Linked DNA regions of Xenopus tropicalis. The protein of the gene in region 2 interacts with the protein of the main gene of each other region in a pairwise test. Links are inferred from orthologs where the notes say so. Each region holds a gene or a part of one and is shown on either strand. Other genes may lie near its edges.

Evidence for each region.
Region 1: the proteins of rgs2 (region 2) and lrfn1.1 interact in a two-hybrid assay, tested with the Homo sapiens proteins (2 studies listed by BioGRID and IntAct). The link is inferred for Xenopus tropicalis from reciprocal best matches to the Homo sapiens genes RGS2 and LRFN1.

Annotation. Positions count from the first base shown.
Region 1 is NC_030684.2:81,084,007-81,090,280, forward strand, and holds part of lrfn1.1 (leucine-rich repeat and fibronectin type III domain-containing protein 1), read right to left. Parts: intron 2,167-6,274; 5' UTR 2,147-2,166; coding exon 765-2,146; intron 1-764. UniProt on the Homo sapiens protein: Promotes neurite outgrowth in hippocampal neurons. Involved in the regulation and maintenance of excitatory synapses. Induces the clustering of excitatory postsynaptic proteins, including DLG4, DLGAP1, GRIA1 and GRIN1.
Region 2 is NC_030680.2:117,677,674-117,684,414, reverse strand, and holds rgs2 (regulator of G-protein signaling 2), read right to left. Parts: upstream 4,537-6,741; 5' UTR 4,460-4,536; coding exon 4,347-4,459; intron 3,147-4,346; coding exon 3,033-3,146; intron 2,924-3,032; coding exon 2,862-2,923; intron 2,469-2,861; coding exon 2,302-2,468; intron 1,868-2,301; coding exon 1,670-1,867; 3' UTR 724-1,669; downstream 1-723. UniProt on the Homo sapiens protein: Regulates G protein-coupled receptor signaling cascades. Inhibits signal transduction by increasing the GTPase activity of G protein alpha subunits, thereby driving them into their inactive GDP-bound form.

The DNA.
Region 1 (6,274 bases), on a different chromosome or scaffold from region 2:
GGATAAGTAGCTTGGGTTGTGCATATATCTTCTGTTCCATATATATTAAACATAACAGTGATAGGACTCCATTGATGTGTCGTTAATGATGCATATATAATGGGCAATGCTCAGAAATCACTAGGCAGTGGCATCACCATGAGGAGTAAGTTTATGTTTGATGTCCAATTCATAATGTTAATTGGTTTTAGATTACAGCATAATACTGTTTCTTTTATTTTTTTTGCTCTTCCCACAAATCACTATGTTCAAAGAGTACATTTATGGTGGAATGCTGTGTGGGTTTTAAAATAGTATTTGCGGGCAAAATGATGTGCTACTGGGACCAGACTTCTGCTGGACTGAATGAATTGGGTCTGTCTGACATGTTCCTCTATCTACATTGATTTAGCATGTACTGTACTGTACATATGTCCTGAAAATGTGAATAAACAAAGCACGCTGATTATATTTGATTGCAGAACATGGCTATACAATGTCCTACCTAGTACATTAAAAAACACATATTATCACAGCTAAAAAATCACATTCAGTATAGATTGGTTTGTTCATGCAATCAGTACATTGTTTATTTCCTATATACAGATAGCTTATTTATATATATATATATATATATATATATATATACACTTAGATAAAGACACAAATTAAATGTTATGGGAAACAATAGTTTTAACAGGCAAGGAGGACGAGCCCGTGACTTTGATGAACTATCTACAAATCTAATAAAACTAATATTATGCAAAATAAAAAAAATATCTTACCTATACACCAGAGAGTCATCCAGAGAACTGTTATACTGGATCTGGTACATACGTATTCCAGGTATGTGGCGCTCAGATGGCCACTGAATTACTACAGATGTGGATTTGAGCTTGTCCACCACAATTCTTCGATCATGGTGGCTCTTCGTATCATTGAAGCCAGGTTTGGTAGAAGTTGTAATATCTGAGGAACCAGGATCTTGTTCTTTAATGTGCGCTGTATTGTTAACCAAAAGTGGAAGGGGTACTATTGCCAATTCCACTGGGGCAGTAGCCTCTCCAGCTGCATTGGAGGCAATGCAAGTAAAAGAACCACTGTCTTTCAGTGTTGTTATCATGATGTCCAAGGATCCATTGTCATGGGCCACAAGCCTTGTTGTATTATGGATCAGCTTGCCATCAGGAGCAATCCAATGGATTGATGGCTCTGGATCTCCTACCGCCTTGCACTTCAGACTGACTGACTGTCCTTCCATGACAAAGGGTTTGCTGGCATAATGTCGTGTTATAAGAGGTGGATCACAGATAAACTCCTCCTCTTGGATAGACCAGAAGTACTTGTCTGTCAGCTGCTCTGGAGAGGCACATGTCTCTAGATCGTCCTCCCTTGTCAGTCGTCGAAGCCACAGAAGTTCACAGTTACAGTGCAGAGGATTCCCACCAAAGCTTATGGCCAAGGAGGATGGGCTGGAGCCTCTAGCATTGGCTAACACTTGTGACCTAAGGAAGAGGTTGTCAGGTGGCAGCTTGTGCAATTGGTTTGAGGTCATATCCAGTCTTACCAGTTTATGAAGCATGGTAAATGTCCCCTCAGCAATATGGTCAATAAGGTTGTGATCGAGTGTCAGAGTGTTAAGATTGACCATTTGACCAATGTCTTCCCAGGGTAATTCCTCTAAATTATTGTAAGACAAGTCAAGGTCTTCTACAGTAGACAGAAACTCAACAAAAGCACCAGGTTGTATAAAACTGATCTGGTTGTTGCCAAGAATGAGGTGACGCAGGTTGCCCAGCCCCCGAAAGTGTTCATGCCTCAATAAAGAGAGCCGGTTGCTGTTCATGTGCAGAGCTCTTAAAGAACGGAGGTCAAAAAATGCCAGTGGCACAATCTGGCTAATGGTATTTCGTGACAGTGTCAGATGCACAAGATTGGTCATGTTAGCAAAGTCCTTTCGCCGGATGATGGTAATAAAATTGTCAGTCAGACGTAGCTCTACTGTTCGACGATCAATGGCTGGTGGCACAAAAAGGAGACCTGTTTTGGCACACAGCATGGTTAGTGTAGGGGAGTTGCTCTGGCAGAGGCATCGACCAGGGCAGTGCTGTGTGGCCTCTACATACCCCAGGGCTCCCATCACAAGCAGGCACAGCAGCTTCTCCATGGCCCTTTGGCCAAGATGGTCTGTGTAAGAGAATGAAAAAAACATGGATCCATTTTTAAACATAGTATTTCTTACTAACCACAAACGACAAATTGTCTTTTGTAATTTTTATTGCTTAGAAAACTCTGAATCCTCCAAAATCTAACAACTACTCTATGGCTTAGGTCACACAAAATTGTTTCAAACTTTTTCAAACTATTTCTTAGAGGCAAATGCAGTCTTTTGGGACAATTTCAGGGTTTTTGCTATGAGATTCTTCCAAATCAAGCACTTTTTCAAGGTTCAGATTTGGCTAGATCCTGAGTGCCCAGCCAAACTGTTAAAGTAAAACTTGTGGACAAATGAAACTAACTTTTCAATTTATTTGCAATTTTTATAATTTAAATTAGTGTGCGAGTTTTGTATCTTTTGTCGAGGATTCAGTATGCAGCTAAATTAAAATTTTTTAAAGTTGTTGCATGTCTAGAAAGAAGTCTCTTTTATTATAAATCCTACTGGTGCAAGCTCATGCTCATAGGTGCAAAGCTATGAAATAGTACAGTTACTAATAGCAACTAAACAGCAATTCATTTTAAACACTCTGTAGCAAAGAAGTGATTGCTTTCGAATGGCAACTGCACTAGTACCTATGTTGGTAATGGTAATATTATCCTTTCAAAAATTAGTCCAAACAATGATCCAACAACTTTATTAATGTCTAATGGAAATATTTTAATGTATGGTTAAAACCAGTAGCATACTATAAAGATCACAAAAATGTACTCATTATAAAGGGATACTACTTTCTGCCATTTGTAATGTATTGCATACTGCACCTAACATTATAATACAATGATATAATTAGGTCAGAGAGAAATGCGGCAAACTGGAGACAAGGTTGGGGGAGGGGGTTTCGCCTTCCTATGGATCCGTTTAAATATAGGTAGGAATTATGTAAGAGAGAGATTGAGATTGATGAATCTTTTTCTTTGTTTTCAACTTTAACACATGTGTTATATAATAAACACTATAAAACATGAAATGTAAAAGTCTGGTTTTAAGAATAACAATTGTAAAATATACTCGAAGGCCCAAGCAGCATGCCTTTTAAATGTTCATATAGTAACTTTGGTGAAAGTACATGGATCTCAAACACCAAAGTTCTGGGGGTAGGGGCGTAAGACAATAGACATTCTAGTAAACATGAAAGAGGGAACTCTTCACTCCTCACCCCATGAAATGTTGTTAAGAGTGTCTGGGGATTTCAAATCTGCAAATGCATTTTAATTTAAAACACATTACAAGATCCACAAATATATGCATGTTACAGGTATACTTATCTGCTGTGAACATGAAAAATGTGACTAGTGGTACAGGTATGGGATCCATTGTCCGAAATGCTTGGTATCAGTTTTCCAGATATGGTGTCTTTCTAGTATTATGCTTTAAAGCTAATATAAACATCATTTGTTTTGTCTTTAACATGGATTGGTACTAGCTTGGATAATCTTAAAAGTAAGGTACAGGTACGGGACCTGTTATCCAGAATTCTCAGGACCTGGGGTTTCTGTAAGAGTGTTGCTTATGAAGTATAGATATGACTGCATATATAAAATTCCCAAGGGGATTTGCTCAGAAAATATAATGTCATATCATGTAGTTTGGGAGGAATAATAAGTCATAAGCTCGAGGAGCACCATTATAACAATGTAGGTCCCCAAAATGCATGGGGAATGGAGTTTCCTAGATAAGGAATCCATTTGTAATATGAAGGACTGTACCTTAAAGCCTATTAACATTTAAACATCAAAATAAGTTAGTATTGTTTTACCATAAGTAATGATTTATGCTAGTTTAGTTTTCATCTAGTAGCAGGGATTGTGTTAATAATACAGAAAATAGCAAATCAATTGAAATAAGCAATTATTTGTTCAAATAGGACATTATGGTAAAGAGCACTGCAGTTTTTTAGAAATTTTCTAGATAATGGATCCCAAACCTGTACTATAAACAATGTAAATACCAGCAACCTGGGAACCTGGTAGGGCCTGGCATTTAGATACTATAGACATGCATGATCTATAGTTCATTTATGGTTAGAATGGCGCTTATGCCTCATTCTTTCTCCCAACTCACAAGATCAAATATCTTTTCTTGACAAACGTCTTTGAGAACTTTCCATATCCACTCTTTAGAAATAACAGTCAAGTGTTAAAGAAAAACGATACCCCCAGAATAAATACTTAAACAACGGATAGTTTACATTATGTTAAGTGACCTATTAAAAGGGTGGTTCAGCTTTGAGTTAACTTTTAGTATTTTATAGAATGGTTAATTCTAAGCGACTTAGTCTTCATTATTTGTTTTTTAGTTTTTGAATTATTTGCCTTCTTCTTCTAACTCTTTGTAGCTTTCAAATGGGGGTCACTGACCCCAGCAGCCAAAAGCTATTGATCTGTGAGGCTACAGTTTTATTGTTGCTTTGTATTACTTATCTTTCTATTCAGGTCCTCTCCTATGCATACACCATTCTTTCATTTAAACAACACCCTGGTTGCTAAGGTAACTCCTTAGCAACCAAATAGCTGCTGAAACTCCAAGCTAGAGAGTTGCCGAACAAAAACTGGAGTAATTAAAAAACTACAAATAATACAAAATGAAGACGAATTGTAAATTGTCTCAGATTATAACTCTCTACATCATACTAAAAGTTACCTTAAATGTAGACAATCCCTCTAAAGTGACATTGAAAACTGCTTCTCACCAACAAGACAGTGGGAATAAAAATATGGCCAAAAAAAGAAGCTAACGTTCTGATGAAGGGTACACTGATGTCTCTTCTGTCTATGGGGCCAGTTACTTTTGCTCCTGGCTGATATTTTTAGGCTTCTACTCTATTACTTAAAATGCTATTTAAAATGCTATTTTGCCATTTTGGGAATATACTTTAATCAAGATTTGGGAGTTGAATAATCATTTCATAGATGTGCCAATTGGAGTACCACTCTTCCTTTGTTTTTGCTGCCATGAAAATATTTTGCATAGGGTGCAAGTCAACAGTCATTTTTTAAATGCATTTAATCAGAAGGACTCGCTAACATACAGTATCTATGACATTTTTTTACATAACAAAGGCAATGCATACATATCTTCGAAAGTCGTGTCATATTGTGGCACAAATGTGTATTTTATAAACATTCGTGTTTTCTATCCCTGACCATGCGTGGTTGAGTGGCATGGCTCTGATAGGTTATGTGAGGTGGTAGTTATTCTCCTGCTGTTCTTAGTAAAGAAATGTCAGCTGTCTCAGATTAAGTAACATGAGACTGAGTCATTGTGACACTTTTGGACAGGACAAGCGTGGACTTTTCAGTTTGATTAGGCTTCACAAGAGACATGCAGGCTGCTTCACAACTGTGTGCCTGTCATTGGCAAGAGGGAGGAGGTAAGTCCAGGAGGCAAAAAAACATGCTGTTAAATAAAGTGAGCACCAATGAGCTGATACACTACAGAGACTGAGATTACTGTGTGGCAAAAGGAATACTTATGTCTTCACAGAAACTGAGATTTATACCAAGAGTCCAAGGCAACATTATACTGTATAAAGAGGCCAGATGATGTCTAATGTTAAACAGAGAATCAGATGCAGCATTGTAGGGAGAGGTCAGTATTACATTGGCCATACATGGTAAGATCCTCTCATTTGGTATTGTTGCAATTCTTCACTGACCCAGATAAAATTATCTAACAACCAAAATCACTACATTCATAAGCCATTTCTCCATACAGGCCCTCATCTGTCTTTTTTCCATATGAAGAAACTATTCTTTATATCTCATTCATACAATGAGTCAACTTTAAAGAAACAGTTCAGTGTAAAAATTAAACTGAGAAATTGATAGGCTGTGCAAAATAAAAAAATGTATTCAATATTGTTAGTTAGGCAAAAATGTAATTTATAAAGGCTGGGGTAATAGATGCCTAATGTAATAGCCAGAACACTACTGTCTCCTTTGCATGCTCTTAGCAGCTTTGCAACCTGCTACCAGTCAGTAACCAATCAGTGACTAGAGGGGGGGGGGGCATATGGGACATTAATGTTTGCTTTCTGGCCTAGGTACTCAGGATCAAAAGCAAACTAACTGAACA
Region 2 (6,741 bases):
TAGTTTCTGGTTTTTGCCAGCTTGTAATAATCGTGTTGGACCCTGAGTAAAATGCCTTGGCATAGGGTACCTTTATATCAAATCTAGCCTAAAATGTTCTACATATCTTAAATCAACAGCTAGGACTGAGGGAGTTGTAGTTTCACAACAGCTGGCGGCTGGGTTTAGAACTCCCTCCCTATTTACTCTGTCCCACAAAGTAAGCCTTGGGTGTCCCACAAGGTTAAAATCCAGGACCCTAAGACCTATGGTAGATAGGGCAATGTTCAGACATTGTGCCTGCTGGGATTCATGGGAATGGGATTTTAAGCAGTAGCAAGTAATCTCCTCTGCACAGACATACTGTTCTGTTAGTCTGACAACACTCAGTAAGCAGGTTTCGCATTACTAGAACCATGCAATAGATGGACCTCAGTGTTTCTAGAACAATGGTTACCTTATGGTGAGGCAGCACTCCAAGCTAAAGGTGTGTACAACATTAAGGCCAGTTAGGATAAGAATTGGGGTTTCATATGTATACATTGTGTTGTATATGTCCTGAACTTTAGAATATTCACTGTTACTTCCATAGTATGTGTTAAGGTGGTGGGGGAGGAATCCAAATATTTAACTGCATGGGGGGATTCTGGACCCCAAAAACTCTGACAGACCTCTGACCGTAGAGTCTATGTTACAATTCAGTTTGTATCTTTTATCTGCATTTATAAGAAACAGATGCAAAAGTACTAAGAAAAATAATTTATTCATAATTAAATCAATATATAACAGCAACTTCACTGAAGTTTAACTGCCTTCAAGGCAGAAAATGACATTATTTAGAGCCCGCCTGCTCTGTTATACAAATTTCCCATACATACTCATACACAGCTTTAACAAATACATACACAGCATTTTATACACAATAAATACACACCATGTGCTGTTTTTAACAGTGAACACACTGTACAGTTGATGACATATGACATATTTTCAGGTGGATGAACTGTTTGAGATACATTAATAAGATATGGATTATCTCATAATCACACAATAGAATTTCTGTAATGTATTGGAAACCTGCAACCTAATAGGTACTGCTCAATACACAGGTTTGCTAGCCCACTGGCACCTCTAACCATTTTAAACTTCCCACCTGGTGAATGGCAGGTTTCATAAACAGTAGCCAGGGCTGCCAATATCACATAATGTACAGCAGAATGAATTGCACAGTGAATGTTAAACTGCTTTAGAGTCACTTCTTAAAATCTGAAATATCTCAAGAACACTTGGTAGTGCCCATGTCTGATTCATGACATTTTAACAGATGATTATTCTTTAATAATGGCCAGAAACAACTCAGATATCTTGGATGGTAAAACCTTTAGTCCTTAAATCTCCTTGGGCTAATGACAGTACTTGAGCTCCCACTGTAGTGCAACCAACAAGTAGATGGATTTCACTGTCTATCACCGTACATTGTCCATGCCTGAAACAGTGCTTCTGCCTCTCCTTATTCACCAGTCACCTTATTTTCTGTATGACCTTTCTTGAGTCAACAGCCAAATCTCATTTTCGATGTTGCCGACACAGTCTCTAAGGCCAAAGATATGAAACCTCTATGGATTGGTTTCTTCTGAAGGACTTTGGTGCAAGTCCAGAGAATATGCGTTGCTTAACTTCAACTGTGTTTTCATGTTGCCTGGGGCTCGCTGGGCATCTGTGGCACTGGCTGGCACAATTCCTGGTAGAATTCAGACTGAATAAAGCGTGGGTATGAATTATTCACCATCAAGCTGTACACCCGTCTCTGGGCAGCGCTGAAGCAGGAGTGTGAAGGTTCCTGCATGGTTTGCATAATGTTTTCCCGAGTTTGAAAGTCAATGTTAATCTGCAGGAAAGATATAAAAATAAAGTTATGAATTGGTCCTGATGTTTAATGAAAAATAACACATTTTTAGGCTTGATTTTAAAATATATCTCTTGTTAAATAGGTGATGGTCTGGGAGAAATCATAGTATTTTCCTTTGTAAGCTCTGCTACTTGAAAAATACCAGTGTTTCGGCTTAGGAGACTAAAGTGTTCTCTTTGTGACTAGTGCACTTGAGCTACACCCATAGGTAAGATAGGTTATGCACACAATGCTTTCATCACCATTACATTAAAATGCTATTTAGAGAACATAAACGGTAACTGTGTCAAAAGACTTCTTAAAATAACTATGCAAACAAATGGCTGCATTACTCAAACACAACTCTAGTATGATATCGTATTTACTAAGCAACGACTACATTGGGGTAATGGTTCTGGCATGTAGCTGCTTACCTCTTTGGGGGCTTCCTTTTCAATGAATTCATCATAAATCTTCTTTGCTTTTGCTGTCAGCTTGTGTGGGGATTTGGTCTTTTTAAAATCTTCACATGCCAGCCAGAACTCAATATTCTCTTCACTGAACTCGGATTTTAAAAAGGCTCTGAATGCTGCTACTCCGTCTGTTAACAAGAGAGAAACAAATGTGTTAATTACTTTTTCCTGTAATGATAATGAACTTCAAAATCCTTGGGCTACTTATATGCTTTTCTATGCTATAACTATTCTCTGATTCCTTTTATGAAACTGATTAGATAGACAGACAGATAGATAGATAGATAGATAGATAGATAGATAGATAGATAGATAGAGATAGATAGAAAGATAGATAGAAGATAGAAAGAAAGAAAGAAAAAGTTTTCTGCATCTAGGTTGTGGCATATCATAATGGTTGTGCACCTTTTAAGCTGTATATTAATACACGCACACTATATATGTATGGTCCACAGAAATACTGATTCCCCTTAATATTTATCTATCTGCTGTGCCCAAATTAGTTTCTGATAATAACTTACATTTGCTGGCAAGAAGATCATCAAAGGTTTCTGACCAACTCTTGGCTTCTTCTGGAGTGGGCCTGAAAGATAGACAGGGATCATGAATACTTCTGCTTAGTTTCCCATTGCCTTACAAAGAACAATATTACATTCAGGTAGTGAGATATAATCAATCTCTATATACTGTACCTGCAATAGGCGTTCTTTTTGCCTCTTTTGTTCTGCCCCATATTTAAGGACCCGTTGGATGTGTTCTGAGAATTCTGCAGGAAGTAGCTCAGACGTGTCTTCCAATCTTTTAAACTGCAAAGGGAAAGAGAATCTTTTATTAAAACTCTTTAAACGCCACAGCGCAGTTCAGTGTTAGAAAGCAGAATAAAGGCATCAAAAATTCTGTTGCCTGGAAATGAAAATTGCCTCTAAACTTGCCCAGCTGTGAAGGGGTTAACTCCCAGGCTATCTAATTAGTTCTGCAGCCTAGCGAAGATCTTGTGACCTTTAGTCTGTTTCTTTTTAAAGGCAAGTCGCCTGTTGCTTTAAGGAAGACTTTTGATCTGCTGAAAGTATTTATAGCTAAACTTCAGAGCAAAGTACAATACCATCTGTGTCAGGGCGGCAGCTCACTCCCCTAGGGAGCAGTTAACAATTAACGTTTCTATATTTGGACCATGGTTCCACATCAGATATTAAAATTAAAAAGGGCAACATAAATACTGAGGTTTAATTGCTGCAATCTAAAGATCTAATTAGGGATATATAGAGGGTTAGATAAGAGTGGCTTTTATAGACTCAATTAATCTTTGTATCTTTGTTAAACATTATCTTACCCAACGTAATCTATCTCATAAGTGCGTCACACTCGGTATGACTAGTTATTACTCGTGTTGGCACATTTTAAGGAAACACAAGAGGCCATTGCAGTTGCTTCTCCCAGCTGTGCAACGTATGTTGCCTGTATGAGATCATTGCATTACTGTACAGCCCAGGAATGACTTATTCACTGAGGCTCTCGCTGCCGCCATCCTGACTATTCCTGCGCTTTTACTACTCTACAAGCAATTGGTTTCCATTATCCATATTTTAATAAAAAGCAAATCTTACTGCATTACTGTACTCTTATGTCAGCAAAATAAAATAATATTAATAAACCTAATGCAATAATGTGAATAGGCACGGTTTAGTAGTTTTCACGCATGCATCTGGAAACTGAAAATAGTTTGAATGCAAAAAGTTGCACAGGGACTTAAAAGCAGTGTAAAACTATCCTTAAAAGCTGGTATTTAACTGATGCCCAGTATTATATATATATGTCTATATAAGAAGATATGCAGCAGAAGAAATACATTCTGCAATAAATGCCAGTGCCATTGGTTTTTAGGGAAAGCAGCCATAGAGAACTGAGCTCTGTAGGGAGAGCCCATGCCATTTGCAATGCTCGGTTCCCTCTGCAGAGCGCAAAGCAGCAGATAATACAGACTGACAGCAATGTGTATAGAAACTTACATAGTTTTCTTCATCTTCCCTCTTTTCTCCTCGTTTTTCTGACAGCCTCCAGGAGACGAGCGTTCGACTTGCCCACAGTTGTGCTGAATGGCAAGAAACATTGCACTCTGCATAATGTCCCTCAATGGATTTGTATTAGTCCCAGAGCTCTCTTCTGCTAGTTCTGTCAGTGAGTCAGTGATGCTGCTAGAGAGCTAGGATGATTTGTCTCTATACAGACTGCTGAGGCTCAACTTTATATGCACCCAAGGTGGGGCTGGGCTTAGGCGCCCCCTCCCTTGCGCCTCTGCTATTGGCTGAGCCAGTTCCTGGCAGTTTGGTAAATCTCTAGTGCTGACGTCTTTGTCTGGGGCTGCTGCAAGTGTATGTGTGCTAGAGCTGCTGCTTCTCCTGGGCTCCTGGCAACTACACTGAAAACTAGTGATTAAGCACCCTGTATATTAAGCACCTTGTATATTATTCTTCTTTATTCTCAGCTGTATGCAAAAGGCAAACAAAATATCCAAACCCCCTTTTATCCTGGGAGAATTTCTGTTGCAGCAAGTAGGAAAGGGAAACTTCAATCTCCCACTGACATTATATGCATTATACATTGTATAACAGCAATAGGGAGCTCTCCTTTTTGCTTAGTATTAGTCCAGCTGCGCTTGGAAAACTGTGTTGCTTTGATGGCACAGGGACATGGAATTGATGGCTGGTGTAGTTCTGTTTTCCTACAGAATAATGTTAAAGCTTATGCACGGCTTTTCCCTCTTTCTGTATACTTTGCTTAACAGCTATTCTAATGGTTACCATAACTTCTAAGAGACCATAAAAGTTTTAAGAATCCTTACTGCAGCTCCAATCATTTGTGAGCTCTTACAGGTGGCACATCTATGGGCTATACATCAGCTTGAAGCCCAGTCTGTACTGTGCAACTGGTATTCCTTACAGATATATACAATATATGTATAAATGTCCTTTATTGCAACATTCAGTTTAAGTTTCATAGGGGCATATAGGGGATATGGGGAGACAAGCATTTTAGAAAAACAGAAGGAGATGTTTCATATATGGAAATTTACATTGTTCTTTGTTCAACTATTTCTAGCACCGATCTGGCTTATGTTGCCAGGCAATGTACGCTGTAGGGGTTTTCAAGAAGGGTTTCTTAGGTGAATGTCTCATAAGCATAAGAGTATACATGTATAAGGAATATTGGAGGAAAAAAAGTGTAAGAATCTTTCCCCTGCACCACGGGTTTCCTATTGTAAATTCTGTGTTCTTAGGTTGATCTCTGTTTTGTTTATGTAGGGAGGGGGAGGCTATAATAACAATAGGGATAAACAGAGGGACAGCTCACATTAAAATGAACATGTAGCTTGATGTAGACAAATTACAGAATGAGACAATTTGCAATTAGTTTTTTTTGTGTGTGTATTTTTTATAAGATCTAACTTCTGGTTTTGCATCTCTCGGGTTTGATATTTATTTTTTTTAGCAGATATATGGTTGCTAGAGACTTACTTACCCTAGCAACCAGGAAGCTGATTGGAAGTCAAAATGGAAAATGAATGGGTGAAAGCCTCTACAGAGAATGAGCCAGTTACCCTGGTGCATTCTGCAAAGAGTTTAAATAGGAAGCCTAATAGTTTCAAAAGATATAATTTAATTAAAAGTGAAGATTTCATTGAAAAGTTGCAAATAAATTAATATATTGAATACTAAAAATTGAAAGTGGAATTTCCCATTAAGTGAGTTGCAGTACACCACCTTTTTGCAGGAAGGGAAAAAAAAATATATATTTAGGGGCCGCATATTGTTGTACAGACTATATATTATATAAACTTTGCAGGTAAACCTTTAAATCCCCTGCAGCACTGGCTGTCAGCTGCACAATAGATCCCTTGTCCTGCTGCCAGAAGGGGTTCATAATATGCGACTATTAAACCTGAAAAACAAGGTTTCTAAAATTAAACCAGTGACGTCAAAGCCGTGAGCGAAATGTTGCAAGGGATGCCTACCATTTCTGCTATGTACAAAGCATGCCTTTATCAATATTAATGGGCTGTAAAACATACGTGAACCCTAATAAGTAAATGTTAGCTGAACAGCAATCTTGCTGATACCCTGATCAGAACTCCGGTTATCCATTGATTTGTGTAGTTTATTTGTATATGGCATTTATTACAGTGACTGGTTAAAAACACCCAGTGAATTGTATTGGGAGGTTATGTTGTTGTTAGATTGGTGCAGATGCTTCAGGCTGCTGCCAGCTTGATCAGCTAGTTTGGTTTATTGGCTAAACAGCTTTTGTAAAAGTATGCGATTGGTCCAAGAACATGAAAAAATAATAGAAGAATGCAATGCAAACATAGATAAGCTAAAACACGTGAAAGTGGGACAACGTGTACCT